Linked DNA regions of Lonchura striata. The protein of the gene in region 1 purifies or fractionates together with the protein of each later gene. This does not show direct contact. Links are inferred from orthologs where the notes say so. Each region holds a gene or a part of one and is shown on either strand. Other genes may lie near its edges. The genes, in order: DUSP4 and MAPK8.

Evidence for each region.
Region 2: the proteins of DUSP4 (region 1) and MAPK8 purify together in Homo sapiens (affinity purification with western blotting; 3 studies listed by BioGRID and IntAct, with this or other methods). This does not show direct contact. The link is inferred for Lonchura striata from reciprocal best matches to the Homo sapiens genes DUSP4 and MAPK8.

What each region holds. Positions count from the first base shown.
Region 1 is NC_134606.1:44,024,631-44,040,509, reverse strand, and holds DUSP4 (dual specificity protein phosphatase 4), read left to right. Parts: upstream 1-9,159; coding exon 9,160-9,682; intron 9,683-12,252; coding exon 12,253-12,413; intron 12,414-12,830; coding exon 12,831-13,050; intron 13,051-13,188; coding exon 13,189-13,574; 3' UTR 13,575-14,799; downstream 14,800-15,879. UniProt on the Homo sapiens protein: Regulates mitogenic signal transduction by dephosphorylating both Thr and Tyr residues on MAP kinases ERK1 and ERK2.
Region 2 is NC_134609.1:14,834,221-14,849,447, forward strand, and holds the start of MAPK8 (mitogen-activated protein kinase 8), read left to right. Parts: upstream 1-8,817; 5' UTR 8,818-8,903; intron 8,904-11,924; exon of another isoform or gene 11,925-12,009; intron 12,010-14,337; exon of another isoform or gene 14,338-14,356; intron 14,357-14,376; coding exon of another isoform or gene 14,377-14,469; intron 14,470-15,227. Other genes in the region: FRMPD2 (FERM and PDZ domain-containing protein 2), read right to left, coding at 1,284-1,440, 2,343-2,528, 3,857-4,009, 4,889-5,027, 5,124-5,274, 6,094-6,268, 6,943-7,014, 7,966-8,093 and 1 more. UniProt on the Homo sapiens protein: Serine/threonine-protein kinase involved in various processes such as cell proliferation, differentiation, migration, transformation and programmed cell death.

The DNA.
Region 1 (15,879 bases):
CTTGATGGAGAAAAGCAGTCTAAAAATGCTGAGTTGAAACAGGTCAATGCATCCTTTGTGTGACAAAGCAAGTTGCCCTGCAAAAAGAGCAATATTTTTCAATCAGTTGGGCAGAATTACACTTTGATTTTATTAGGTAGTTCAGTGCAATACTGTTATGTCCCCAAATAGGGTGGCAAGATGCCATTTCTTCTGCTCCCATAGCTGAGAGGAGATGGGTTTGAGATGACCATCTCTTTCAGGACAGAAATGGAGAGGAGCAATGAAACAAGGAGGTGGCAGGTTCAAAGCCAGCCCAAGGAAATGGCTCTGGCATAATGAAGCAGTGGAACTCCTCACTGCAGGATGCTGTGGATGCTGAACATTTGCATGAGTTCAAAAAGCACCCAGGCCTATTCATGGAGGAAATACCTATTAGGGGTTATTAGGAGCACAGATCCCAGCGCTGGCTCAGGAAGTCCCCCAGGCACATTGCACAGGATGGGAAGAGTTGCCTGGAAAGCACTGGCTCACTTGCCCAGGTTCATGCTGTTTCCAAATTGCCTGAAGCAGGTTAGCTGCCCTTGCAGCCAGGTCATTGATCCAGCTGGACTTTTTACACCTCTTTATTATTGCTGGAGTATCCACATCATTTGAGTGCTCCCCATGTTATTTGACTGGATGGGATATCTACTATTGAACACACAATTTTACTGTTTTTGCTATTCCTGCTGTTGGACTACTTACTCTCTTTACTGGGCTTTTTCTCTGTTTCTGCTGCTGGTGCTTGACAACACTCCTGGAGTGGCTTAAGCCCTTTGAAGGGGCTGCTCAGAGAGTCACCAGGTCAGTGGTGGGTTGTGGCTGGCAAGTAGTCTGTCAGAATGTTTCCTATTCTGCTGGGGTTTTCTTTTCCCTTTATTGAACACATTGGGCAAAGCAGAGCAGAGAAGAAGTGAGCCTCTGGGAGAGATTTTCAAGGGCAAGGGCATAAACTCTTGCCAGCAAGGCTGTGGCATGTGCCTATCTGTCAGCATGCCAACTGCTGCAGAAGCTGATTCCAGCCCTGAGAGCATATGTTTGGCAGCAGCCTGAGAGCCCGAGGTCTCTGCTGCTTCCCTCTGCCCCTGATGGAAATACCAAGGCCAAGGCAGCAGGATCAGGCCTTTCTCAGATAAGGCCTTTTTTGTTTGTTTGTTTTAACAAGAGAGACCTCACACTGGCACAGGAAACCACTGAGAAGCGAATTGAAGGAGGCTGGGACAGTTGTCCAGCCTCATTTCACGTTCCTCCGGAGGCACAGAGCACCACCAGCCAAGGTCTCCCATCTGTTCCACCTCTCAAAGAGGGCCCAGCTTTAAAGTTCAGTGGGGACGCCTGGGACAAAGTCCATGAAGACCTTCACGGACACAATCATCTGACGTTTTTGGGTGTGAGTCAATGCCTGATGCACCAAGACAGGAGGTGAATCAGTCACAGGGCTCTGCTGGGGGTGTCTAGAAAGAATCACGGCAGCTGCGGTCACTTCTGACCCCCTGGGCCATCCACACTTGACCCCATGGCTGCCTCATCTCCGGCAGGGGACAGAAAGACACGACAAGCCAGGGCCACGTGTCCCTGCCAGATTCGTGTGATCAGGTCGCAGCAGGAGCTGAGATCATCTGTGGAGCAGAGAAGGGAGATTAACTGGAGGCACAAAGAAGCCCCAGAGGGATTTCAGACTTTCTCCTCTTGTCACAGCCTCCTGTGGATGGCTGTGATGCTCAGGTCCCTGGGGTCCACGGCTGCTGGCACAGGGCCCGTGGGAAGGATGTGCGATTGTTCGCGTGCTGAGACAGCGCCCAAGGCAGAGCCCAGGCTGGGAGGCAATGGAGAAGGAAAAAGCCTGTCTTTAAACTTGAAGCTGATTTGGGGTTTTGTCTTGTCACAATTACGATGATTGACTCTCTGTGCCTCAGGAGTGATTTCTGGATATAAATCTTCCTTTGGTTTTTTTAATATACATTTGCCATTGTCTTGGTCCCAGGCAAGCATCAGGCCATGCCAGCCAAGTTAGAGTCACAGAGCTAAGGCTGCATTGGCCTACGTGAGGCTGCTTTTGTTCTAACCCCTCTGCTCAGCAACTTTACACAGAGCAACACCAGTGTGAGGCACAGATACACAGAAGTAGCACAAATGTGTGTCAGAAGGAGTTCAGCTACACTTCTGGCCTTTGAAGAGTTCAAGCTCAGCAATCTCCCTGTGTTTAGTAACCACCCATGTGCTTTGCTTCCAGGAATTTATCCTTTTACTTTTGATGCTCTGTAAACTCAGAGCATGCACAGGTCCTGCAGCAAGGTGTTTCCCTGGTTAACAGCTTGTGCAAGTTGGTGCTCCTTATGTGAGTTTGACCTTGCCAGACAACACTTTTGGTTCCCATGTCCAGGCACCTGGATGAACCCTCAGCATCTCCATGCCTCACAAGAGGGCACAGTCCTGTTGAAAGAGCCTCTGAGGAGCCCAGCTCCCACCTGGCCCACTGCTTGAGGGACAAGAGACCGAGTTTGTCCCAGGAAAAGCAGCAGGTTTCCGTTCCCCTAGTGCCTGCCACTTGGGCCTTGGGATCAGGAACGAGTACAAGGGAGCTGCTTGAAGCCAATTGCACCCCTTGTGTCTGTAAAAGAAGTACCAGACACAAATCATCCCTCCCTCAGTGTAACTTGGAGGGATGTCCCAGTTACTGCTGGCACAGAACAACCTGTATTTCCACTGCTGTTTCAAAACTCATACAGGTACCACTGCTACATTCATAAAAATTAGTGGGAGATTTGTCATTCATAGCCTTAGTGTATGAGTCTGACACTATGTATAAATAGGTTATAGTCACACTTACATAACACTGCCTTATTTATGATCTTAAGCCCAAGGGAGAAATGTCTCTTCCCAGCCCTTTCTTCCTAGCAGAAAACGTCATTCAAAGCTCAGCTTCAATCCTATCACTGAGGCCGGATGCTTAACCAAACACTGGGAAATTCAAGCGAGGCATTTCTCTTTCAACTTGCAAACAGTGATGTACCCAAAGAAGGCAGCTGCTAGGATCTCTGTGCCCATGATTAAATATTGCACCAGGGCTGGAGAGTTTTCAGGAGTGATCCCTGGCTTCAGAGCCATGAGAGATATAATGTGTGTTAAAGGCAAAATGTCACAGGCTATGTTAAAGGTTAAAATGCCACATCCCTTAGCGGCTTCAATCTAGTTCTCAAAGCAGACCCCTTACACTGCATTTGTCTTACAGCAAACTGAGAGGAGGGGATCAACTTTCTTTCACAGATTCACTTCTCTGGCTCTCTGCTGCATCCCCAAATCCTGCAGCCAAAGATGTAAGACTAATCCCCATGGCACTAAAAATTCTGGGATTAAGAGACCCATGTGCCTGTTTTATCCACCTCTGCTTTATAATCCTTCGTTTTAATAACATGACCACAGACCATGTATGTCCTGACACCTGGAATGGGGAAAGCTTCAGGGTTTTTGTGAAAAGCAGGAGATGGAAGGGGATTGGAAGAGGATGCTGATGGGGTCTGACACAGCACCACATTTGTATAAAATCATGACAAAATGTAAAGCATAGTCTGCGCAGATTCTTATATCAGGAAGAAGCTTCCCAGTGTGGGCTACCCTGGTTCACCAAGGCTGCAGCAACATTCAGCAATCACCCTGGATCCTACCACCCACCCCCCAGTCTGAAGCACTGGTAGAGACTGTGCCCAGGAGACAGCCAGGCTGGCTCTGCACCTGCCGGGACCCGAACCAGAGCTGGTCTCTGGTTCCTGGTGTTGTGGAGGGGTGATATAGAGGGGCAAGTCTGCCACACCTGTGGGAACATTGGGCTCCTAAGTCCTTCAGAGCAGGAGTGATGGATGTATGAGTTCTGCATGCCCTTTCCCACTGTCCAGTCTTCAGGAGTCCCACCAGCAGCGAACCTCCAAACCCTGCAACTGGTGTCCCCTCACACTTCCCACCAAAACCAGGCAGGTCAAAAAGAAACAGCACAGGATTTTGGAAGGCTCCCTGTTTCTGCAGGCAGAATTTAGGCCTGTTGCAGAGCAGCCCTCACCTAGCAGAAGCCATTGCTCTTCTTAAAATCTTATTCCCATTACTGACCATGCTGGATCAGGCCTCACGTTTCTCACCCAGAGTAACTGGGGCTGCACTGACTTTTACAAGCAGAAATAAAAGCAGTGGCAAAAAGCAGGAGGTTGAGAGAGAGAGAGAGAGAGTGGGGAGAGAAACCAAATCTGCAGCAGAAAATCTGCAGGCCACTTTGTATCCTGCTAATTTGAGTGGGTCCGGCCCTGATCTCATTTGCATGGGCATAAACCATTTGTAGCTATTGAGGTACATGGAGGACCCATCAATGTTCTGAAGAAGTGCTCCTTTGCTTTCAGGAATAAAGGCTGCTTTTTCCATCTTCCAATCTAAATCAGATCAGAGGCCCAGAAATGAGTCTCCTATCTAGTGATTTATGGCTCTATCTGATATTGCAGGGAAAAAGCAACAGATTATTTGTTCTTCTTGAGATAAAATCTGTAGGGCTGGAGTGGGGATTACACACCAAGGCCTCAGCAGAGAGCAGAGAAAGCAGACCTGGCAAAGCTCCTGGCATTTTTCATGTGCTGTCAAAGGCTTTTGGGTTCGCATGCGGAGAGCTTTGTGGCTTGAGGCAACAAAGACTGTGGCAGGGTTCAAGCAGCCTGGTGTGAAGGAGCAAGGATGGGATAGGGAAGCACCTCAGCCCAGCCTGGAACAAATCCCCTTCCTTGGCTCCCTTGCCTCTTGCTCCAAGCACACACAGTGTTTTCAAAAAGCCCTGAGAGATTGTCTGCTGAAAAACTAGTTATGGCTGAGCCGCTCTTGTGACTGCCCACCAAGAGCTGCATTTCCTCTGGCTGCCTTGGAGGATGGGGTGATGATCTGGGACATGCTTGCTGAAATATGCTGTTGTGACCCTGGGACACATCTGGGACAGTATGGAGCTTAGCTATGAGAAGCCAGTGCAGGAGGGATGCATTTGGGCCTGAACAGCTACCTGCCCTCTGGTTCTTCCTTCTCTCCAGGGGTGTCCCATGCTAGGCAAGGCGCTGCCCTGGGGCCTAGGCTGGTCACATGCTTCTGCAGCTGAGGGGTTGGAAAGCACTGAAAATGAACATTTTCCCCTCCTCCACCTTCTCAGCCAACCTTGCATAATTTCCCCTTTAGCCTCTCTAGACAGGTTCATTACAATTCCCATCCATTAATATGTAAATATGCCCTAGAGGAAAGACAGCCTGAATTTATTAACATGAATCTTTTAACTCTTTCACTGCTGCACTTCCCTTTGTGGACAGGAGGGTGCATTCCCCAGCCTGGAAAGCTGTGAGGAAGGGAGATGGCAGGAAAGGAGAACTGTAAAGTGCTCCAAGAGGATAGAAGGGAACCATGCCCCTGTGGCACTCTGGGAGGGTAAGGCTTTTCGGTAAGTGCGGACTTGCAAGTTGCTAAGACCTTGATCCTGCCTTTCATTTCTGCCAAAGGCTTCCTGCACATGCCAGGGCAAACCACTCAACCCTTTGGCCAGCCACTGGCAGCAGCCAAGGAAAGGTGGCAGTATCTTTATGCTGCAACCATTGCCACGTGCCAAGAGTAGTGAGGATGTACCTCTGTGCTTTGTCCATCCATAGCTCCACTGGCTGACCAGGAGGATGGAGGGAGTCAAGCTCTTGGGAAAACTTCAGCATAACAAAGTCCTGGCCACTGTTCCTGCCCAGCGGCACAGAGGCAGGCACATCTGTCAGGTAGCTGAGACCTGCACTGTGAGCCAGCACATCAGGACTCCATGAGTGCACACTGGGGCCAGGAGCCAGGGGAGCAGAGCCAGGAAACCTGGAGGAGTCCAGAGGGCTCGCAGAGCTTAGCATCTTAAGAGCTGCCCACAGCAACTATTGCCCACCCAGGGGAACTTATGCTTTGGCATTTCTCTGGGCAGAAAAAACCTTGAGGTAGCCCAACAAATGGGGATCTATTGGCTGGCAAATTTACAGCCTGACTCTAATTTGGTTTTCACTGCCACAGTGAGATGAGGTGTAAATTCCTTTTTCTTAATTCAAGTTACATATTGACATTTAATCATCCAAATATGTGCCTCCTTTGACAATTCATTTCCCTTCAACCCTTTCAACAATTGTCTTTTCTGGCCAGGGCCCTATAAAAGATGATTCCTTGACTCTGCTGCAAAGGAAATGAATGTATCTTGCTCTCTCTCTTTTCTTTTGGTTGTTTGTTTTCCAGTGGGATATATTTCAGTTTGCACCATACGGATGCTCTTTGACAGGAATATTAGCTTTCACACTTCTCTGGGTTTACAAAGTCAGGCATGGAGCCATGTGGTCTTCTCCAATCTCCACCCCCTATCCCCAATCTTTTCCATACACCCTGCCCCTTCAGCCCACATAGCTGTGCTGCTTCTTTTGACTTGTGGCTTCTGCTTTGCAAGCATTTTGGGTGACTCTCATCTTAATACCTCTATAAATAAAGTTAATTAGATTTCCTTTTGAGCTAACTGCAGTGAGGGAGATCCTTCTTCTCCTCCAGCGGTGTGTCATGGCCTTGCCTTGGTTCATTTTGGGCACTCTCGCCTTTGGGTTCAATTTCTCCACATCTGTGAGCCACCAGCCCCAGCAGAGCGCCAGCTCCAGAGGTGACCAGCCAGGAGCACAGATGTGACAATGCCTAGTGTGGGTGCACAGTGGGATTCCCAGCAGCCTGACTGGGTGCAGCTTATTTTCCAGGAAGCCAAGAACCTGCCACATCTAGATAGGGCAGCAGGAAGGGATGAAGAGTAGGGAGAGGGTTCAGTCACATGGAAATACCTGAAAATCTCCACCAGATGCACATGCACACACATCCTTCCACACTCTGCCCTGAAGTAATATCCTTCATCAGTGCTCTTGCAAACATCAAGGAACGTCAGCCCAAATGCCCCTTCCTGCACCCATGACAATACTGCCCTCCTCTCCTACCTCAGATGGGTTTGTCCCAGTCACACACTGGATGAGAAAGGGAAAAATAGGATGATGGATCTGCCTCCAAGGACATACACTTTGTGCCCTTGGTTATCCAACTTTAGCGTAAAAGCTGGAGTGAATAGTGCAGAGGGCATTTGAGACACCAGGCTAGCTCATCCTGTGTTGGTGGCCAGCAGCTGCCCAAGAGGAACAAAGAAAACAAAATATTTTAGCATCAGGCCTTGCACAAAACTTTTTAAGATGCTTTGATGATCCAACTTGAGTTCAAGGACTCTTGGTACGAGAGTATGATTTCCCATTAATTTGTAATCAAATTCTCAGTTTGAGATTTTTGTCTCTGGCAGCTTTCTCTACAGGAAGAAAGAATGTTTTTGGTATGTCACTGGCCACCCAGAGTCTGCTTTACTTCAGCAGAAATAGGGTTTTGCTATTCTTGTGTTTGATGCATGTTAGAATGGGGGACGATTAGCCTTCCACCCTTGTATTAGGCAACAGGCTCTAATGCACCCTGGAGGGGGGTTTATTACACAAATGGCAGCTGTGTTTCCCCCACAGCTCATCTGATTTGGCTTGGCTGGCAAAAGGTTGGCATGGCACACAAAAGCCACAGGTGCAAAGATTGGGCTGACTCAGGCCGAGGGGAGAATCCAGCAGCGGTCAGAGAGCAGAGTGTAAAGGATGCAGGAGTGTCACCAGCTGTAGGTCCTGCACGTGTGTGCTAGGCTGGATTCCTCCCAGGCAGGCACACACAGCAAGGTGTTACCCTGCCGTGCCTGGGTAAACAGCGACCGAGTATGCAGGGGAGGGGAAGCCAAGCTGCCTCTCCAAGCGCTGCCCTCTGTGAAAAGCAGTGACAGGGCAGATGAGCTTGAGTAAGCATTGGGCCCCTAACCTTACACCCACCACATCCAAGTCCACATCTGGATAGCTGAACACCTTCAGGTCTCTGAAGCACACTCACCTGGGACTGGCCGGCATCAGCGTGCAGGAAATGCCCTGAGCACTGTTGCTGGCATTGTGGTTTGCGATGCTGCTTCTGTTTGAAAGCAGTCTGAAAGGGGACTTTGGGGTGAAATGATTGCTCGGTGTTTGGGTGGTGGTTATGGGGAGACCCTCCTGGGACACTTCAGGGCTGTGCATTTACTCCTTAGTCTTTTAATAGAAAATTGAATTCCTCTATGTGAGGAATGAAATCAGGCAGGGTGCTGTAGTGTTTTCAGGGCTCTGCAGCCAACGAGATGCCGTTTTCTGACAGGGGAAGCGTGGCCGTGAAAGATGCATAGCCAGAAGGACCCAGAGGGACCCTGCAGAGCTGACAGCGGGCCCTGCTCAGTGCCCCCCGCCGCGGCAGTCCAAGCGAAACAGCAGCAAGGAGACAAAGGAAGAGGAATGTGCGCAGCGTGTGCCCGGCCTGCTGTGTGCGTGTGCCTGAGTGTGTGTGTGTGTGTGTGTGTGTGTGTGTGTGTGTGTGTGTGTGTCTGTGTGTGTGTGTGTGTGTGTGTGTGTGTGTCTGTGTGTGTGTGTGTCTGTGTGTGTGTCTGTGTGTGTGTGTGTGTGTCTCTGTGTGTGTGTGTGTGTGTCTCTGTGTGTGTGTCTGTGTGTGTGTCTGTGTGTGTGTGTGTCTCTGTGTGTCTCTGTGTGTGTGTGTGTGTGTGTGTGTGTGTGTGTGTCTCTGTGTGTCTCTGTGTGTGTGCGTGTGTGTCTCTGTGTGTGTCTGTGTGTATGTCTGTGTGTGTGTCTGTGTGTCTGTGTGTCTGTGTAGACGGGCGCGTGTCCCGCAGCCTGTGCACGCGCGCGTGTGTCCCGCAGCGTGCGGGTCCCGGGGGGCGCGGGCGGGGGTGACACGGGCTGCCCCGCGGTGACAAAGGCGCGGCGCGTCGCGCCGCTCTCGCCCATTCACAACCCGGACGGGTTTTCTTTTTTTTTTTGTGAATGGAGGCGGTGACGTCGCCGCGCCCGCGCGCCGCCTCCCCTCCATTCATGCGGCCGCGGCGCGCCGCGAATGGGCGGGGCGGGGCGGGGCGGGGGCGCGCGCCGGCCGCCGCCGGGTAGTAAAGGCTGCGCGCGGCGCGCGCGGGGGTGCGCGAGCGGCGCGGGCGGCGGGCGCGGGGCGCGGCGGGCGCTCGCTCCCCCCGCCATGGTGGCCACCGAGGGGCTGCGCGAGATGGAGGGCAGCGCGCTGCGCCGCCTCGTCGGCCGCGACGAGGCCGGGGCCGGCGGCGCCGCGCGGTGCCTGGTGCTGGACTGCCGCCCCTTCCTGGCGCACAGCGCCGGGCACATCCGCGGGGCGCTCAACGTGCGCTGCAACACGATCGTGCGGCGGCGGGCGAAGGGCGCCGTGAGCCTGGAGCAGATCCTGCCGGCCGAGGGCGAGGTGCGGGCGCGGCTGCGGGCCGGGCTCTACTCCGCCGTCGTGGTGTACGACGAGCGCAGCCCGCGCGCCGAGGCCCTGCGCGAGGACAGCACCGTGGCGCTCGTGGTGCGCGCGCTCCGTCGCGACACGGCGCGCGCCGACATCCGCCTCCTGGCAGGTACCGCCGGCGGGAGCGGGCGGGGGACACCGGGAATGCCGGGCGGGAGCCGGCGGCGGACGGCCGCCCGCGCCCGGGAGCGAGGTCCGGGCTCGCCGTGCCCCGGGCGCTGCGCTGCCTCCCCCCGGCGGCGGCTGTCCCGCAGAAGTTGGGAGCCGGCGGGAGCGCTGGGGGCCGCACGCACCGGGGCTGCGCCGCCCCGGAGCGGGGTCCCGGCTCCGCCGCAGCGCGGCCATCAGCCCCGAGCGTGGGTGCCCGGGCGGTCTGAGCCGGCTCCGGGGCATCGACCGGCCCCGTGGCCCTCCCCGGGACCTGAGGGAAGTGAGCGTGTTGGGGGGAATCCCCCCACGCTTTGTTTGAGTCCGTCCCCGGCCCCGTGGTGCGCAGGAGGTGTTTGTGCAGGTCAAATACCTGCTGTCACGGCGATGTCCCCTTGCAGCGGGCAGAAACCCCGGGGACGCCTCTGTGCTCCTTTTGCGACTACAGCAGGGATCAGGACTCCCCCCCTCTGCCGTGTGTTAAAATGGGAAGCTGTGCACATTTGGAGCTGCTGGTCCTGAGAATTGCCTTGAGATGATTTAGAGGCGGGGGATGCTCAGCTGGGGTTCCTGGATGAGCTCTGGGGGGCTTTTTCTTTTTTGTTTACAGCCTGAGAGTCAATTTATTCCTTGGCTTACTTACAGCAGGAGTGAGGATGTGTATGCAGAGTAGCAAATCCATTAAGAGGCTTGATAGATGGAGGAACTAGCGCTTCGGTTGTAGTAGATACAGTAAAAGCAGCAGGAGCTGTTCCAGGGATGCGATACGACGTGCTGCTGCGGGAGTGCCTGTACAGCAAGGGCTTGCTCAGGAGCAGGCTCCTTCACCGCGAGCCAGCGTGGTGCTGGAGCCACGCATGTGGCAGGAAATGCTGCTCTCCTGCAAGGGTGGCCTTTGTCAGCTAAGAGCTTCTGGTGCCTCTGTGGTTCTCGTGGGAGGTTGGTAGGAATGGGAGCTCTTTTAAGGAATGGGCTCCGAGAGACTCAGTCTCAGCACTACAGTCTTCTTTTTGCGTTCCACAGAGCCACTGAAATAATCTTGTTCTGATTCCATGAGGGCTACACTAACCCAGAGCTGTGCATGCCCAAGTGCACATTTGTGGGGTGCAGGTCACAATGAAAATCCTGAAGTGTTTTGTGCAGGTCAGGCTGCTGCCAGGTTCCCTGTGAAGCAGCCGGCCTGGGGGTTGCTTGGCCATAGGCACCTGCTCTGCCTGGCTCCTGCACCGGGCAGGGCTGGTGTGAACAGCCAGGAGCTGCTGGATCAATGAATCTGATGAAATTCATTGAAGAGAAGCATTTGAATAGGTCTCTTTTTCTTTCCAAGAACCATTCTTTCCAAGATTTTTCTGCCCATCACCCTGGGTAGCTTTTCCCTCTCATGGTGTGATGACCACTGGAGTGTGATGTAGTAGATCCAGAGATTTTAAGACCAGAACCCTGGAACTTGTCTAACAAAGACTTTTGGTTTTGGATGCTCTTTCAAATCGAAGCAGTAAGACTGTAAAGGGATGTCAGGCCGGGGAAATGAAGCTTCTGCAAACTGTCCTGGCTGCGTGGGAGGGACAATGCAAATGCAGTGATAGATCTGCACGGTTCTGCTTTAAGGTACTAGAGCCCTTCCTTTTGTAGGGGGAGGAAGCCACAAAGGACACTGGGATGCTGGCAGTATCGGGCTCTAGCTGCCCAGGGATCCCTGGGCTGCTTGAGAAGCTTGCTTCCATTGTTTTGAATATCCAGCCTTGTTCAGGGCAGTCTCAGAGCTTAGGCTGGGTAAGAAGTATCCTGCTGTACGCTCTGCTAAGCCAAAATCTGCAGGCATAGGTCCTGCAGTTGGTTTGAGTCTTCAGGAACCAACCTGGGAGTCAGGGCTTGATCTAGCTGGAATCCTATGATGATAGTAAAATAATGATTTTCATTGATTTTGAGGCTCAAAGTCAGACCCTTCAAGGATGTCAGGGTTGTTGACTTGATCTGAATGAGAGAAGGAAATCTCACCAGAAGTGTTTATTGGCAGGCCAACACTGCAGTTTCCCTGTCCTGGGAACTCAGTGGGATTTGCTCATTTCACCGGCCATGAGGAAGCCGTGACATTCCCTGTGCTGCTTATCCCCCTGGCAGCAGGTCAGATGAACAAGCTGCTCCATGTTCAGCTTGCACCTGAGTCCTTGGGAAGCAGCAGACTCCTCTCTTGGAGAGCAGTTTGGCTGTGGGGTCAGCCAGAGCCAGGGCTTTCCTGGTCTGTTGTTTTGGAAGCTCTGAGCTGGAGGGTCAAGCTGGGAATGGGAGACCTGCCTGTCTTGTGACAAAATGATGTGTCAAGGGAAGAGGAGAACTGAATAGTCTTTGGCCTCGGAGCAGCTTTTCCCATTTAAGTCTGAGTATGCTCAGAGAGCAACCTTGGCCTCATTCTGGAGTTTTGGCTGGCAGTATGCAGGGAACCGAACCCTGGACCAGAGACTTTGGGTGGCCAAGATCATTGCTCTTGGTGCTCTTGCTCCAAGGGAATGGTGGGGCCGCAGGGATTTCCCCCTTGCTGCCAAGAGCCTGACTGCTCCTCCTGGGGCAGGAGACCACTCTCCATCGCTGTAGCATCATCTAGTGGCCAAGGGCATCTCCGGCTGTGCCGTTCCGCAGTCCTGTGAACGCGGTCTGGGGTAACACTTTGTGCCTCTCTTCTTGCAGGGGGCTATGAGCGCTTCTCCTCGGAGTACCCTGAATTCTGCGCAAAAACCAAGTCCCTGAGCAATGTGTCACCCCCCACCAGCGCTGAGCCCCTGGATCTGGGCTGCAGTTCCTGTGGGACCCCTTTCCATGACCAGGTATGTCTAAAAGCCCAGTGCTTAGCTAGCTTGACTGCCCTTCCAGCATTACAACCTGCTCCAACAGGAGTCTCTCTGCTCTCCCTTAGCTGGGGCTCACGAAGCCAAAGCCCTACTTCCTTTCCTCTCATGGGAAAGCATGGTGGTCCTCCTAAGCCCAGGGTGTTTGTGTGCCCCGCTGAGTGGACACGCCCAAATCCTTTTAACCCACACCTGCCTGTTTCTGAATAGGACAAAGGCAGATAGAGGAAGGGCTGAAACAGGTTTAGCACCTCAGGAAGGCAGCCTCTGCTCCCTCTTCTGAGGACCCTGGATCGGGTGCCAGGTTGCCGCACAGCTCGTCGTTTCCAAGCCATCTGGATGTGTGTCCTGCCTCCCACTGTCCCCTGGTCAACCTGTTGTTTTCTTCTGTCACAGGGTGGGCCTGTGGAGATCCTTCCCTTCCTCTACCTTGGCAGCGCCTACCACGCAGCCCGGCGGGACATGCTTGATGCACTGGGCATCACAGCCCTGCTGAACGTCTCCTCAGACTGCCCCAACCACTTTGAGGGGCACTACCAGTACAAGTGTATCCCTGTGGAGGATAACCACAAAGCTGACATCAGCTCCTGGTTCATGGAGGCAATTGAGTACATTGGTGAGTGCCCGTGCAGAGATGTCGTGTCCATTGGTGGCACCGGTGGGAGGGAGGTCAGCCACCACCTGCAGGTTGGGTGAGGGGCTGGGCTGTGGTGGCAGGGTGTGGGTCTCACATCTCACCCCTGTTGCCCTCCAGACTCAGTGAAGGAGTGCTGTGGCCGGGTCCTGGTGCACTGCCAGGCTGGCATCTCCCGCTCAGCCACCATCTGCTTGGCGTACCTGATGATGAAGAAACGTGTCAAGCTAGAGGAGGCCTTTGAGTTTGTCAAGCAGCGCCGGAGCATCATCTCCCCCAACTTCAGCTTCATGGGGCAGCTGCTGCAGTTTGAGTCGCAGGTGTTAGCCACTTCATACGCAGTGGAGGCCGTCAGCCCCTCGGGGACACTGCGGGAGCGGGGCAAGGCCACCTCCACCCCCACCTCGCAGTTTGTCTTCAGCTTCCCAGTGTCTGTCGGTGTCCATGCCACCCCCAGCAGCCTCCCCTACCTGCACAGCCCCATCACCACGTCGCCCAGCTGTTAGCTCAGGGCCGAGGCCAGCCAGGCAGGTAGTGCCAGGCGTGCAGGGGCGTGGAGCCCTGTGATGTTAAGCAATAGTGCCGGACACTGCCATTCACCCTGGACTCACCATCCTTTTCGTAGGGAAATTTTTTACCTCATCTTGGTTTGTTTGCTTTTTATTGTTATGTTTTGAAAGCACGAGGTTGTAAAAGCCACAAACCTTGACACTGTCCAGGCTCTTTGGGGGAGGAAAAAGATAGTATACTGGGTTTCCTCAAGTGCCTGGTCTTCACGTGTTTCCATCCCGATTTTATTGTCTTGTTTTTTTACACCTCCCCTTCTCCCCATGTTTCTGCCTCAGCTCATCTAGGTTGACAAAGGAGCATACCCTGTTTTATTGTGCAGCAGCCTTCCCCCTTGCAGAGAGACCTGTGTGTTTATGGCAAGTGCTGCTTACCTGAGCCAGGTACACTTTGGACAAGCAGAGCTGCAGGCAGGGCTTTGGGGTGAGCAGGAGTGGTGGCACAGGGCTGCCTGCACTCAACCTCAGCCCTGCCAGTGGCTGGGGAGATGAGGCAGGAGCTGGCAGGCACCTGCCAAGTCACCAGCTGAGCCTATTCCAGGGGGAGAGCAATCTCTGTGGTTGGGAAGTGGTTTGGAGGGAGAGATGTAGTCTGAAATGCCTTTTCTTGCCTCTGTGGATCACTGGTTTCTAGAAAACTTAGGTCCAATCTCCTGTGGCTTTAAGATGAGAAAGAAGGGGTTGGGGCAGCAGTCTGGGCTGCTTTTGATTACTCTGCTCAGTTTCCTCTCCACCAGTCCCACTGCTGCTCTTCTTCCAAAAGGAGCAGGACGGGACATGGGTGGGCTGTAATGGAAGAGAGAAGCTGTGGGGTGGAGGACAGGCTGGCCCAGAGGTGTCATTCATCCAGCATTTTCAAGCTTCTTCCACATCATGGCCAGCCCTTTTCCTGTGCTGAGTCTTGTTCACCTGTGCAACATTTCTGCAGCTTTTGGTCCAAGCCTTGAAAATGCCTCATCTTCAACCCACCTGGAGCCTTATTTCCCACCCTACCTCTGTCCTTCCCTCCAGTCCAGTCCAACACACAAGATGCCTGTGTGGCTGATGTACATATGTATGGTTTTGTTCTTTTTTTTTTTTTTTCTAGAAATTAACTTTTTATTTATTGCCTGAGGGAGGGAGAAAACATTGTTTGGAGAAAATAAAAATAAAACTGTTTTCAACAGTTTGGCTGGAGCAAATTTGTCCTAAGAGCAAGACAGAACAGCAGGTTGTGCACACATTCCATTTTCACAGAGCAACTGTTAAAAATGTATTTATTGACTTTTAAACTATTACAAGTATTGCAGATCAGACATTTAGCCAAGCACACTTATAGATCAAACTCAGTTGTTACAGAGATGTTACCTAAAGTCCACCATGTAGATAGGCTGAGAAACTGCCCATCGTCTTCAACTTTGAGAGAGAAGGTAAAAGAAGAAATAAATAAATGATATCCCAGCTCCAGGTAATTGGCAACCAAGAGAGGACAAACACAGGGCTAGTTATGAAAACAAGTTACACAAAAAAGGTCTAGAAATTCAACCCCTAGCTACATTGCCATCTGGGTTGCCAGAGAAAGCTATTAGGAATGACAAAGCACAAGCTCATGGGACCACAGCACAGGAAATCCCCATTTCAATTTCCAAAGCTGAAGCAAGTTCTGCAGATGTTAAGAAAGTGTCAAAATTATCTTGTAATGACAGAGATTCTAATAATCTACATTAGTAATTAAGGGGACCAGCACTAAAACTTGCCGCAAACAGGTTCAGCAACACCAATACATCAAAACCAGTCAGATAATGTGACTTGACAGGCATATGTGTCAGTGTAATGGAAATGCATTTGCTTCCCAAGTCCCCTACAGATTCCCAGGCTCATTCACCTTGCTTCAGAGATTTTAACACACATACAATGTTCCCCAATCCCCTGGGTTTCACATCTACTCTGTGTTTAGAGGTGGGAACACTGCCGCTCCCTCTCTGCACTCCTGCTACTTTTGGAAAGACCAGGAAAGCATGCTCTGGACTGTGCCAAGCCACCACCTCTGATCACCAATGGATTCAAGTCTGTGGAGGTTCACAAGCCAGTTGTTATGTGAGGCAAGAACTGAATATATGCTTTCCCAGGTCTTCCCTATCCAGGCTGCAGCATAGCTTACATTGCTGGACAAATATTCAGCTTAACAAAACTGAAGCATGCATTAGATGCATGACCTCTTGGATTTCTAAGCTGGACTTCCTGTGGGAAAGCAGCATGGAAACAG
Region 2 (15,227 bases), on another chromosome or scaffold:
ACTTGTAATCAGCATTTGGCTTATAACTTTCTTATTTCTCAATATATTTTTTCTGTTATATATGGAATACAATAATTTTAAGATAAATTACCACAAGCAAATGTAACACAGGAAACTGTAAGATGCACTATTAGCACTCATTTGAATGAAATAAAGCACAGTCCCACTAAAATATTTTAGAAGTTGGAGATGTCAACAGCAAACATTTAGGTTCAAGATTCCTTGAATCTAAATGCCACCCTAGGGCCTTTTTCCATGGTAACAATTTTCTGCAAAAATTTCACCTTTTATAAAATGACTTTAGTGGTGAGGAGGCAATATATCGATCATCCTGTTACATGCCACAGTAGTATTTGTTGCCAACAGTTTTATGGTTTTACTACAGAAAGGAGCATTCCAGCAGATAAGGCAGGACACTTGATTCTCCTGCAGTGACTCACCAGGTCAAACACTCAGAGCTTGTAAATGATCATGGTTCTGCTCAAGGCAGAGGATGAGCTACTGAAAACTTATGTTGCTCCACTGAAGTCAAGAATGATGACAGTTGTCAGCTTAGGCTCTTATTTCTTATGTGCCTCAGTTTCCCCATAATAATACCCACTCATCTTTTCAGGACATGCTGAAAAGTGTGGGTGAGATGTGCTATGTGTCTACCCTGGATGAAGAAGAATCATGTTAGCAACTATGGAAAACCTGAAGCCTGAGAAGGTACTGTTCATATATTCCATAGACATGGCAAAATCTAAGATTAGAGCTGCTAGCAGCTGTATGATTGAGTATGACTCAGTTGCCTTTAGTGGTTTAGTGGTTCTGTCCTGGGACTGAACCATTGAGTTGTATCCCTGTCTTATCCAAAATAACTGAGTGCAGCTCAAGCGTGTCTGGGCACTATTACAGTTTTAATTTGTGTAGAACATTTTTCAGATTACATTTGTGGTAGATTGGATATATTTCTGCAGAATTCTCAGCAGCAAAATTCTCCTGATGGGAAGTGAAATCATGCTTATTTCTTTTTTAAATCTGAGTTTAGCTACATAGCTGTTATCATGAGAGAATCCCTTCTCACCTCCTGCACATGCTTATTCACATGCACATGCCAAATTAGACTTAGTCAGACAAATTAGACTCTTTAAACTTTCAGTGTAGTAGGTGGCATTATTTTCTAACTGAAACAGAGTGAAACTGAGGTGGCAGGTTCTAATTCTCAGAATTGGTGAATGTACCTTACCTAAAACATAACCTTGTCCTACGGTCCCAGTAACAAAAGTGCATTTTTAGCTCACCTGATGAAGTTTGACGAAGTTGCCTAGAATTCATCTGTGCATTGAATTTGTGCTGGGCAGAGCAGAGGTCCAGTAGGTATTTACATGTCTTTGCTGTATCAGTAATGAAGGTGTGTTTCTTGCCACTGAAGCTGCTTTCGATCATGAATTTTTTTCTCTGAAGGGGAAAAAAAGCACAGGTTGCTTCATATATCAGTCATTACACTGAGGCACTGACAGTTCATTTATAGAATCTTGTTGGTTTGTTCAGTTGTATTTATGCCTGACTCCATCCCTTTTGTGTGCAGTAAATGCCTGTTGTAAATTCAACACTTGTAAGCCAGGTGTCTGTCATTGGGATCATAACTCTTCTATGTTAAAAGTCAAGAACCTTAGGACATTGAATGCAGTGATAGCAGGTGCTAAAACCGCAAAATTTGGCCCTACAGATGTTAAAATTATGAAACAAATTTAATATGAAAGGGAACATATCTCCAACGGGGAGAAGGAATATTTTTGGAGAGCAAACAAGCTGGGAAATGTGTAATCCAATTTGACACCTGAACTGTACATTGATACACCTCTAATGTCAAAATCCCATTTAGAAATGGGTCGCAATCTTGTCACCAATATTAGTTTGTTAGCAAACATCAATATACTAAAAGATGAGGTTGGGAATAATGAGATCTGGAAAGTGGAAGACATCATCCCATGACCTGATGTAGTCAGAAAAACAGAAGAAAAGAGCAGTAAAGACAAGAGATGAATTAATATGGAATATACTGTGGAGAGATTTGGCATAGTCTCTGTAATAGTCAGCACCAGATTATTTGGTTTTATGGCAATTTGTCTTTGGCCTCAGCATAAATACTGTGGAACTATACCTCAAAAAGAATGAATTCTTTGTATGTTCATATCCACATTCAGATCCAGCTTTGATTTGAAGCTCTTTTCAGAAAGGACTTGCCCATATAGAGTGAATCTAATTCTCACTCTGAATGCAATAAATTTATCAAAGCGACAGGAAGAAAGGCAGTTAAGCAGTAGAGTAGAGAAGAGATTCAGTTAGTTCCAACTCACGTGAGCTGAAATTCTCTCTGTTTCTCGCCACTGGAATCTTAAACTGGCAATTCTTGTGTGATTTTTGTTCTCATAGACGATGATGCCTTTGGCACAGATTCCCAGGATGATGTCCCCTTCTGTCCCTTTCTTCTCTTGGGACACACGATAGAATAACACTCCATATTCAGGAAGTTGCTGAGTCACCTTGTAGGGAAAAAGTATTTTAACCATGCCCTTACTCAAAAAGATTCATGGGAAGAAAGGTAGATGGAAGAGAAAATGTTTTTGAGTGTCTTAGGAGTGTCTGCCCCTGCCATCTAACCATGCAGGGGATATTCTGAGAAACTCACCCAGAGGTTCTGGGTGTTGATGCTTGTCTTTCTACCTACTGTACTTGGCCATGAAAGTGTTAAAATGTGGCTCAGACACTTTACAGAACTATGGAATAGGACTAGGATTTTCTGTCTAATCTACAGACCAATATGAGTTTATCCTAAAACCTTATATTTTCTTTCTGGGAAGCTACTGTAGAATCCTCAAATGACTTTTCAATTGTGAACAGAGGTTTTCAGTGACCAAAATAAAACACTTTAAGAAGATCTGTTTTTTCAGAAAGTAACCATAGTATAAACGTTCAGGTCCTGAAAACTGGGGCATCTATAATCACTAGCTGAATCTGGGTTTTAATTTTTAATCCCTTTCATATTTGGAATTTACATTTTCTTGCCATGGGGTCTGTCTTTCTCACTTTGTATGATGAGTTGGCTCCTTCTACAGACTTATTCATTGAAACAGATACTAACAAAGCTTCTTTTTCTTCATTGGATTTGCCATGCATCATGGGACTGTCATTTAGGCTAAGCTTCAATCTATTTCTTAATTGCACTGACAGTGTTAGATGAAGAACTAATATAACTAAATAGCAACTGAACTAAAATGATGCTATAAATAACAGCATGTGGCACTGCAGCAAAATGACTACTGGTATTTATCCATTATCTAATCCTTTATATTTTTCATTTGATGGAAAGCAGAGAGGTTTGGAGAGAAAGAAATTAGCAGGAAAAAAGTTAAATCCCACGTCATTGTGACACTTTAGAGCTCTAGAGAAATAGTCAAGTGCAAAAATATTTCAGATAACTCCTTCCTCACTTCCAAGGTTCACAGATACTTTTAAACAAACAATCACTACATATTTAGAAAGTAGCTGAACAGCTGCTTTAATTTCAGAAGTCAAAAAAGTGCTTAGTCTCATGTTTTATAATCTTCTGGATACCAGACATATTGGTAACATGCCAAAAATTTACATCAAACCTTAGAATGCTGCAAATACACCAAAACTTGTTATGAAAACCCTCAGTGATAAGTGACAGTATCTACAACAGAATAAAATTTTGAGATTTTTGTTGACTATTCAAATTTTTTCACCATATCTACCATTGTATCAGACAAGAAGAAAATAAACAACGGTAAATAGAGAGGGGCTCTCTACCTCAAAATTAATAAATAGTGTTTGGGGTATGGCAAGTTACCTTTAAAAATTCTAGTTCAGCTTCATCCTCAAATAGGGAGCGATTCATACGATGTAGTTTAGCAAGCTCTCGCTGTACATATGCCAGGGTCATTTTCTCTATTCGACTTGCTGGAACGTAGTCTTCAACACGAAAATAGCTCTTTCCATGCATCTGTGGGGGAAAAACAAAGAGACAGGAGCCTTTTGTTCTTTCTTGACTTTTCTTATTCATCGCATTCCATTTTCAGGGTGACCCATATGCAGAAGTCACCCTGCTGCCATTTCCCAAAGGAAACTGGGGACAGCACGCAGTGTCCTGACAGCCAAATTGCCTCTTGCCCCTGTGCTCAGGCAGCTGCTCAAAGCACACATCACTTCTTTGGGCAGAGGAGAGGAAGGATCTGGGCCTACAGGCGTGTCCTGCCCTTAGAGCTGACAGCTACAGCTGCATCAGTACAACCTACAGTGGGGGACCCATTGCCATGATTGATCTGACCACATGGATTAGACCACTCCGAGTTCAATTAACAGAGCTACCCTGATTTACATAGCTGAAGTTATGGAAGCAACATAAATGGGTGTTTTATATGCACTTGAAAACTAGGACAGCCAGTTCAGATATACAATCAGAGACCTCCCTGTCTTTGCAGCTTGTGGATCTGAGCCTACACATAAGACAGCTGTGAATTCTGAAGCGTTCATTTGCTTTTCTCTTCCCTCTTTACTAATCTCTTTAAGCCCCTCCACACATCCAAGCTGGGCCTGTGTTGGAAACTTTCTACAGATTTTCTAGAGTTTCTAGGCTATATTATCAATGAAGGACCTAGACTCTCTCATCATTCTGCCATATTTCCTGGCAAATTCACCTGGCTCATTACTACTCCATAATCAGGAATATTTTGTAATTTTTAAAATTAAGTCTGAAGGACTTATCTGGAGGACTTAACTGAAGTTCTTTGCTATTCACATTTCTTCTTTAAACTCTATGTGACAAAAGCTGCAAAAGTTGTAGAGAGAGACCTCTGAGAAATACTGTATTATTTCTCCACACCTCAGAAGCATAATTGCCAAGCTCTGCCTGTAAAGCCAAAGCGCCGAGTTTCAGGGCAGTCTCATCACTGCAATATAATCGCTCCTCCAAAATATCTTTACGAAGCTGCAGGTAAAACTGGTGCCTTGTCAAGCCATGCCTGGAATAGAAAAGGGTTTAGGAACTCAGGAGGAGCTTTGAATGGTATCCCTAAATGCTACCAGTTTTCCTTCAGTCAGCAGAATTTTGCACTTACTGAATAACATTAAAGTGGTTGACAAAAAATTTTATCCTTAGAAAAAGTGTGAAATTAATGATGGACATTTTCTTCTTGGGTTGGTCATTCCAGCCGTCTGGAGCCACTTTGTAGAGTTTGGTCTCCTCATCCAAAAAGAAGAATTCTTTACCTGAAATGAGAATTTTGGGTTCTGTGATAAACCTGGATATACTTCAGCAGCATAGTTCTGCTGTCTTCATAGAGTGCATCACTAGCAATAAAAAATAAATTGGATTGGGGATGTCAGCTAAGATTTAGTTCTCAGCTTTAACTTCTCAAATTTTAGTTATTGCTCCTTTGATGTAGAACTTAGGACAGTATGTAATTTTGGATTACAAATGTTAGATGCTGGATTAGTATGGTATCTGAGAAATCACTCAAGGACTCATGGAGCTTGCATTCTTCTCACCACTCAGGTTCTGCACCCCTTTGTAATCCTCATGCCCACACACAAGGTGTGCTCTTTCCCAGTGCCTCAGCTGTGCCTGCCATCAGAAGGGGACCAGGGAGATGTGGGTCTGGTAGATGACACAGCTGAACCTGTACTCCCACTTATATCTAGGAATAAACACAGGCAGCCTTTCCCAGTGCAATGCTTCCTGGAATTTCTGCTGGACCTGCATGGCTCAGTGTTATTTGAGTGCAAGGCTGGGATACAGCCTTTTCTGCCTGGGAATATCAGTGAGTAAATGTTGTATGGCTGTGCTGTGCACAGTCCTAGGGCAGACATGCTTTACACCAGTGCAATGCAGTTTAAACCAACATACCTTACTTTTGCACAAGCTTTGTGTCTGCTTCTACCCAAGGATCTTAAAGGATCTTTGAATTAATTCTTGATGAATGATTATTTGATGCATTCTTGAATGATTCCTTGATTAATTCTTACTGGAATTCATTGATAAAGTGACTACAGAGGCATTGTCTCATATATAAATAACTGTCTCGTTACCTTTCAGGTAAGCCAAGCCAAAGTAGAAATGCTCCACCAAGTTTGCATATGCCACCACAGTGTTGAAAACATCTCTTGCCTTGGTCTTGATATCACATTGCACCTCAAGGCACTGGCCATTGAGTAGAATCACATTGAGATCCCTTTGGGACAAATAGGATTTCCCTTTTTTAGTCTAAGAACATGCAAGAAAGAATGAAGAATGAGTGCCAAGTACAAGCAATGCAAGTTCCACAGCATTTTATATTGAGGCCCACTAGTAGCCTGTCTCTATGCAACTGATGGAATTGGTCACAACACCATGCTAATCTCTGCCTCCCTTCTCATAAATTAATATCACAAACTTTTCTTATTTCCTTAAAACCAAAAGAATCACAACAAAACAGATGAGCATACTCAAATTCTCCAGGTGCCAGAGTTATTCTAGATTTGGTGCTACTTCCAAATTTGTTTTGCTCTCATTTTTACAGCTATCTGCTGTCATCTTTCTACCTTACCTTGATGAAAGGTAAAGTATCTGCTTGCAAGCTGGAGAAGTCCCATGCATTGGAACTAGATGTCATATTGCAGATTTACTACACAGTCTTTGTCTCAAAGGTCTAGGGCTAAAGTGAACATTCTTAGCTGAGAAGGATAAATCAAGCTTTTTTTTACACCAACAGAAATAACTAAATAGCACTAAGAATTAATGGACACCCTTTCAAGTCTCAATATCTCTGCAAGGAACCCTAACTTGTTTTGAGAGGAGGACATGGAGAGAATACTGGCTTGAGACTCAGGTGCTATTTACAAAGAGCCCTGACTGAAATGTCACTGGATTTGTTCAAAATCCTTAATGTTCATTCTTACCACAATTGATCCAGGCAGCTGTAAGGTCACTGGTGGTTCACTTGACAAAATAATAAATTCTGGACCTGAAAACTGCAAGGAGGCAATTTAGAAATTTTGTAAGTCTTCTTAATGGAATGAAGATCCCAAACACAAGTATCAATGAAACCCATTTCTATTGATCTGTATGCTGGACCTAATTGACTTCAGTGTTGAATAAGGTGCAAATGCTGACTGGTGACTTCTCTCTCTTTGGTGTCTCTCCTTTGTAGACTCTCCAGGGTCTAAGTAGGGCTAAGCTCATGTGGAAGCCTTTTCTTCTGTAAAGGTACTTAATCAAAATCCATTTCCTTTGCAAGGTATCTATTTTCATGACACTTATAGAAACAATTTATTCTGAGACCTTTTCTCATTTGATTCCCAAATTACTTTGAGGACAGTCACAGACACAGAAACATACAAACACACCACTGTGATTGCTTAAGCCCAACTTCCCTAAGAACTAGACTGAAATGCAGAGCTGCTTTCTTCCCCATAATAAAGGCTGACTGATGGTTCTTATTATTAGACATTGTATTCTTTTGTTTTAATTGCAAATAACTTCAACAGTTTTAAGCTCTTTTTTCCTTGCTGAGTATCCATCTCAACTAGTTGTATATATTGGGTTTTTATCAGATACATCTATGCTTTTAGATCCCTTAAGCAGACAGAATAATTAAATGTCTTCAAATAATAAGATGTGAATCCTTCCAGCCATTCACCGTGACTTAGTAACTTGACCCATTTAGATACTTAAAAAAAAAAAGAAAGAAATTTCATAGCAGTATGGTCTTACCAACAGACAATGCAGTTTTGCATCACATTAAAGAGGGAGTAGCACTGTGTTGTAACAGTTGCTGAACTCCTGTGAAAGGCTGTTATTATCCCCACAAAAACCATAATCACAACATTTAAATCATATAAATATAATGTATAAAATAAATATAATATAAAATTCATATGAGGAAATATAATTTTCCAAAGTATCTAAGTGAAGCTCTTGACCAAATATTTGTCACTGGTCACTGCTGAGCTTCTGGACTGGGAAGAGGTGAAAGGGTTCATCAGCCTGAAACCTGTCCCTTCTTGTTCCACAACAGAAAACTCCATATGAAGGATCATGGTGGAGTTTTCTGTGAATAAGTTATTTCTGAATTTTTGCAAACCGGAAAAGACTGCAAAACAGCATACCTTTGAAAGAAACTTTGTCCTTTCCATTTAACAGAGTCCTACTACAACTTAGAAAGTAGAAAAAGTCAGTTAGGAGAACTACTGTCTGGGCCCATTCACTGTCAGCCTATGCTTTCTGTCCAGACATGCACTGTAAAAAGAAATTTAAGTCCTTTGAGCATCACTGGCTGGCAGGCATTTGGGTACACTGTCTCTGTAAAGTTTTTGCTGTTCTGAAACTGCTGTCGAAGTGGTTGGGGAAAACAGTCCATATGGTGCTTGATGCTGGCAGAAATCACATATGTAGGTCAGAGAGGGTTCAATTATGAGCTTTTGCTTAGTCCTTACAGACAATTGCTTTCACTGCCTTCGGTTCTGACAGCATAACTGGATCATGCCTAATTTGGAGTCTGTCAATTTAGAATACTCATCTAATAAGATGACTCAGTAGCTAATATGCACATCATTGTCAAACAAAAATTAGATGAGAGGCTTCTCTTTAGTGATATTTACATTTTGAAATCAGCTTATATGTTTTTCGTCATTCACCTTTTCCTTCCTGTGGAACAAACATTTCTGTGATGCGGCAGCTGCTGAGGAGTCCTTTGTGGACACAGAGAAGGTGGATCCCAAGCTTATCAGGTTCTGTCGGCTGTTCTTCGCAGTTCCACCCGGGATTTCTTCTACAGCACTCACCGACCTTCAAAGGAAATGTGAGAAAAAGATCTAACATGCAGTCAACACAACAGTGACCTGGGGGCAGAGATCTTAAGGTACAGTAACTACTGAATATGATGAAGTCCAGGACAATGTCTGTTATAAGCTCCTTAATGTCTCTTTACAAAAAAAGAAAAATTTAACAGGAGTATAACTCTAGATTTATTTATAACTCTCCGTTATAAATAAATCTAAACTCTGCTTTGATTCAATAGAGTCAGGTTTGTTTCTTTCCTTCATTTGGTGAGCCAAATGCAGCTGGTTTAAGTTTGGTGAAGCCGACAGGCAAAAAGTGCAGCCCCATTCCCTTCTGGGAATTCTACAGGATGAAGAAAGTTCCTCATTTATTATTTTCTCAAGAAAAAAGCTTCAGAAAGCCTTAACGTTTGTTGTTACATTATTCAGAATTTTTCCAGAAATGGGAATTAAATTATTTGAATACTAATTCATTAGGATAAATTAATGTCCTAGGGAACTGAGGGATTTTTTAATTTAATTAAGAAAAAGGTGTGTGAAACCTCAGATCAGAAAGCTGTCTCTGTACTGTAGCTTTGAACAAGAAATGATTATGTTGTTCGGGAGGGGTTTTATTGAGGTGGATTTTTGTTAATTACATTTTTTCAGCAAATGCTAAAGACACATAGAAGCTTTTCCATTATCCTAAAGTTTTATCATTTTCTTTTGCACATTGAAGATTTACATCAGGCAACTATTCAAGGAATTTCTAAAAATTTTTCAAAAATTAACTAGAGTAGTTTCTCATCTCTTCTGCCTAGTATCCAATAACAGGGAACATGGGAGCAGTTCAAAACTACAGTACGTGGAGTTCAGAGATGTTAGGAACCATTTTTTCCCTTAAGAGGGGGCCAAACACTGGAACAGGCCACCTAAGAGATGGTCACTGGTCCAAGCCTGTCAGTTATTAAGAGTCATTTGGAGATGACCTTAATAACATCCTTTAACTTTTGGTCAACTCTGAAATGCTCAGGCAGTTGGACTAGATGATTATTGAGTCTCCTCTCCTCTCCTCTCCTCTCCTCTCCTCTCCTCTCCTCTCCTCTCCTCAAAATCCAAAATTCATTATTAAGAAGGCTTTCTTTTACTGTGGAAAACACTTCCTGTTATTACTCCTGTTAGGTGAGATGTGCCAGATTTTACAGTTGTGTCTTCTTTAGATATAGACCAGAGCCTTGTTTACAAGCTTCACTTTGTGAGATGTAAGTTATGTTAATTTGGCTTCCTACAGAATGAGCATGATGATATAAGTAAGCTTTATAGATAGTAAACCCATCACTAATTTTTGTGTTGGTTGTACTCCTACATGGGAAACGTGATTTCCAAAGTAATTTCAACTCCACTGCTGTAATGGTACTTGTAATAGAATGGTGACTGTGGTAGACATTCAGTTGCAGATGCTTACAGCCAGGAGTGGGGTTTAAAGTTCTTGAAGTTCTATGGGAAGCAGCTTGCTGGAAATTTGGAGAACAGAGTTCGTCCTTCAGCAGAGGAGGTGAACTTATTCTTGGCAGCATGATTTTAAATCAAGTACATTAAGATCATATCTAGAGTTTTAGTCAGAGGCATGGAAATTACTGTGAAGTACTCAGTAAATAAATCCTCTGTTACTCATATAACTGTTAGATATATGATGCATATATAGATGTTGGTGAACACATACACAAATATGTGTGTGTGTAGTTAGACAAGTAGACAGAGACTTCTTTCTTGACAAAAGCAGCCACTATCCCGCAATCTGCTTGTAGATCTCTCTTGTTGCAGTTTTACAGGTGTACTGGGGTATCTCATATTGCCCAGATTATCATGGCTGATTTATCAGGAAGTTCAAACTGTTTACTTAGGACACATTTAATTGGGAGTTGATCTAAATTGAGCATTTCCTGTGGGCCTGAATTACTCGTGTCATGGTTAAAAGAAGAAACTCCTGTTTAACTGGGTCAAGAACCCAATTTAAATGGGATGTCTGTAGGGATTACATGGTGCTTAACTATGGGATTCTGGGCTTTGTGATGCCTAGAGACTGACAGTACTTGCATCTCTTTGTTTGGAAGCTGCACTGTGCTAACACCCAGTCTAGAAAATTCTTGTTTGGCAGCAGGGGTGTTTCCCTGGCTATTGAAAAGGACTTAGTATCAGTTGTACAATCCTCACTTTTCTTTGCCAATGTCTACAGGGCTGCTGTCCATTCCATGGCTGAAATGAGGCTAATCCTCATGACAGAGCAGAGGTCTTTACTGCTCGTGACCCTGGGTTTCCTGTAACTCTCCAGTACAGTGGCAGTGCAGGGCTGGACATGACTGACACAAGTGAGAAAAATCAGTATAAGGACTGAGATGGAAATGCAAATGAAAATTATACATTATATACATGGTTTCACATAACCACTACAGAACACATAAGGTGTGACAGCACTTTAATGTGACAGCAAGGCTAGACCACATCCAAAATCTGAATGTGGACAAATAAGGACTCTGGCAGAATGCCTTGACAGGGAAAGTGATGACTATTAATACCTTTTCAATAGATTTTTCCCTTCATAAATTATATCATTAGTAAGGTTAAAAAAGACCTCTAAGATCATAAAATCCATCCTTCCACAGTGTCTGTGCAGCAGTTTCCCAGCTGTTTCAGTCACAGGGGACTAATGCTGATTCCCTGCCTGGGGGAGACACAGCTGGGGGCAGCTATTCTGGGAGGCCTGTGGCATCTGGCAGGACACACTGGTACAGAGTAAATGTGGAATTCCTGCATCTGCTTTGTATGGATCGTTCAGGGCCCAGGTTTTTTGGACTTGGAGCCAAACCAAGAGTAGGTGAACATTATTTATTTATTCTACATAGTAGAATATTATGTATTTATTACGTTATTTATTCTATATAAATATAATAATATATAGATATAGATATAGATATAGATATAGATATAGATATAGATATCTATTATCAAAGCAGGCTCAGATGTCAATTCAGGCATTTCTGATACTGGCATTGCCACACTAACTGCTGGATTCACTTGCTTATAAAACAGCTTTCATCTTGTAGAATATAAATTGAGCTTACCTGTTTATGAAGAGCTTGTAGCTACTTTGTGTCCTTGACCCACTAAGTGTGGTGTCACATGATCTGTGTGTCTCTGGAATTCTTCCTGCAATGAATATAGGAAATTTCAAAATTCAAGTGATAGTAGCGGCACTCAGCATCGGATATTGGGACAATTATAACAGGGAAGAAATTTAAACTGGCAATCTCCTCTCTTGTATCCTCACTTGGACATGATAAATGGCTATTTAATAAGGTTAATGAATACTACACCAGCAGTATTCCCAGTTCCCTAGTTATTGTTACTTCCTCTTCATAACCCCTTATGTGAATGTAATTTGGAAAACAGCTGTGTAGGTACAATGGCTGTCATTTCCATCTGTATGGGGGTAATTTGTGGAACAGCTTTTTCTCTTCAGAAATTATGTCCAATTTTTGTTCTTCAATTTGCAGGCATAAAATGGGCAGAAAAAGGCATGAAACTTCTCTGGCTTAATCAGAGTAGAATATAAAATCAATTAAATGAAAAGGATTGTATCTATTCCACTGGTTACTTTCTATGTTATATATATTGTGAATGTTTTTACGACATACAAACATGGTAGGAATAGTGGATGGCTTGTGGTTCCTTAGCAAATAAGGATTGCATTGTTTTTCACCTTCAATCATCTCTGTTGCTACACTATGGACAAGTGTTGCTTTGTCATGAAGGCTGAAATTTAGAGGCAGAACCAGAAAGGGTTATACAAGTTGTAGTTCTATGAATGTTTCTTGTATCAGCAGAGATATTTGAAATCTTTAGGGAATGGTGAGAAGGTTAAATTCTTATTCACTTTGATCATTTCATTGATCTTATTTGAAGACTTGCATATCAAACTATTACATAAGTAGGATGATAGAGGTTGTAAACAAGCTGTGTGGAAGGAATCATTTTGATAAAACATTCATGCACTACACCCTGAGACTTCACTCTGTATTCCAACATGAAAACGTGACACTGAATTCTAGTGTACCAACCAACCAACTGCAATTTTGAAACCTAGAAAATCTACAGTCCCATTGCTAAAATAAGAATAAACATGTGGGGTTTTTTCAAGCTGCAGATGGTAGTGACAAAATGTGAGATTTGAGATAAGCTAGTTACCAAAGTTAAGATTCAATCCTGTGTTCTGAAACAACATGCTTTTTAATGAGAAAACCTCACAAAATTCTCTGCTTGCACTGTGGTTTTAATATACTTGTATAAATATATTTTGATAAGATCATAAAATTCTCCTTAGTCTTTCTATATCAGCTGCTCTAGCAGTGGGACAACTTGGCTACTTTCCATGGCCAGACTGCCATGCTTTGATCACAAATCCAACACACACCTGACATTAAATTAACATGTATTCTTCAAAGAAGTTAATGCTGTAGATTTACTATATGTTAAATGAGCTCCTAATGTGCAGTCTTGATAGAGATATTTATGTCCTTTGATAATGGTGCTCTGCTAGATAGTAATATTTCTTATCATAGCAGAATGCTTTTTTTATGATGTATTATTTTGTGAAAGAATGTTTGTGACAAATAAGCTCTCACATTCTGTGTTTACTCATGTGTTTTTAGAATCCTGTATTACAAACTCCTGAGTATGCACAGCTACCTGTGCTTCATTGGAGATTGAGATATGCACAAAGGCCCTGGAATGAGCCTTTGTCAAGTTTATGACCAAAATGTCTTTTAAATTGCTTATGAAAGTGACTTCTGAATTTGTCTTCACTGTGTGTGACTGTGTATGTGACTCACACGTATGTGTCACTCATGGAGCAGCTGCAGTCTCAGGTTTTCATTGCTGCTGATATTGATTGCAATTCTGGAGCTTCAGAAAAGCACCTTGCAGGAGGAGACCATCAACAGCAGTAACCTCACTTTCTCATCCTTGGGCTGAGGGCTGAGAGGCTATGATATTATGGGTTTTTTTCCCATGATATGCCTAATTTCTCTCTGAATTATGTCCCCATAGAACATTCACTCTTAGGTGTTATTTATAGATTCAGCTGATTTCAGAGCTGATGTCTTGACATTGCCCACCATATGCATTTGTGGGGTAGCCCCACCTTTTCTGTGTCAAGATCCCATGTGCTAAAAACATAATGTCAAGCTTTGTGATCTGCTGAACAGCTTTACCTGGCAAAGGGGGCATGAAGCAAGAAAGAGGTGATGGAGCTACATGGTAGCCAGGAAATTTATAGCTGTACTGTGGGACACAAGTGAAAAATAATCAGATATAAAAATATCTTTCTTCCCTACAACTTAGCACAAATATACCTCCCAAGTCACATAACCACAAGTTGCATAGGAGTATCTGTCACCTGGTACATGGTCAATCCCACACTTTAGGGGACAAAATAGATAATAATTCACAAACATAATCTTTTTTTAAAAATCTTACCTTTCCTGTGTCCTCGGTTAGACAGTATCAAAGATGTACTTTCAGAAATACTATTAGAATCACTACAATCCACAGAGAGTTGTCTGTAATCTTCTGTTGACTGACTATAGTTCATTAATCTGGGCCCTTTGTCTGGAAACAGAAAGGAAATGTGGTGAATCATATACTTTGGTAATAAGCCATTGTATTTGCAAGTTAATGTAAATAACATTTCGATCTGCTAATTTTTATATAGACCTCATCCTTCTGTCTTCTAACCCTGACTCCAATTCCTTAAAGACTGAGGAAAGCATGGTAACATCATTCTATTACTTTCATATCCTATTCTGACCAAAATTGGTTTTCATAGTTCTCAATTATTCCATATAAAACAAATCTAATTCATTAATTCTGTTCTACATGTTTAACTGAAAGGTTGCAAAGTGCAGATAACCTGCAAAGTTCTTATTCCTTCTACTCTGAGGTCCAAAACTTTGAGCTAAAATTTCTTCTTTCTGTGTGCAGGCTGGACAATGCCCAAACAGAATCCACTACCAGAGGCAGATGCAGAAATTTCATTAATGGGACATCCTAATTCATTAGGATGTATATATTTTTCTTGCACGCTGACTTTTCTTGTTTTGCATTCTCTTGTGTCCTTTTACAGAATCTCTGAAGGATAATTTTTAATTTTAAAAAAGGAAGAAATGGAATGTTGTCTTGCAAAGTGCAGCTCACACATTTTCAATATAATTGACACCCTAATTCATTGAAGTCCTTTGGCAAGTGTAAGTCAAGTGATCTGAATCATGAGCAAACACAGAGATCACACCAGACAAATAATCCCTGCAACCAGTGTCAGGAAACTGGCAGGAATTTCTGGTTAATACAGGGTTGAAAATGGGGCCATC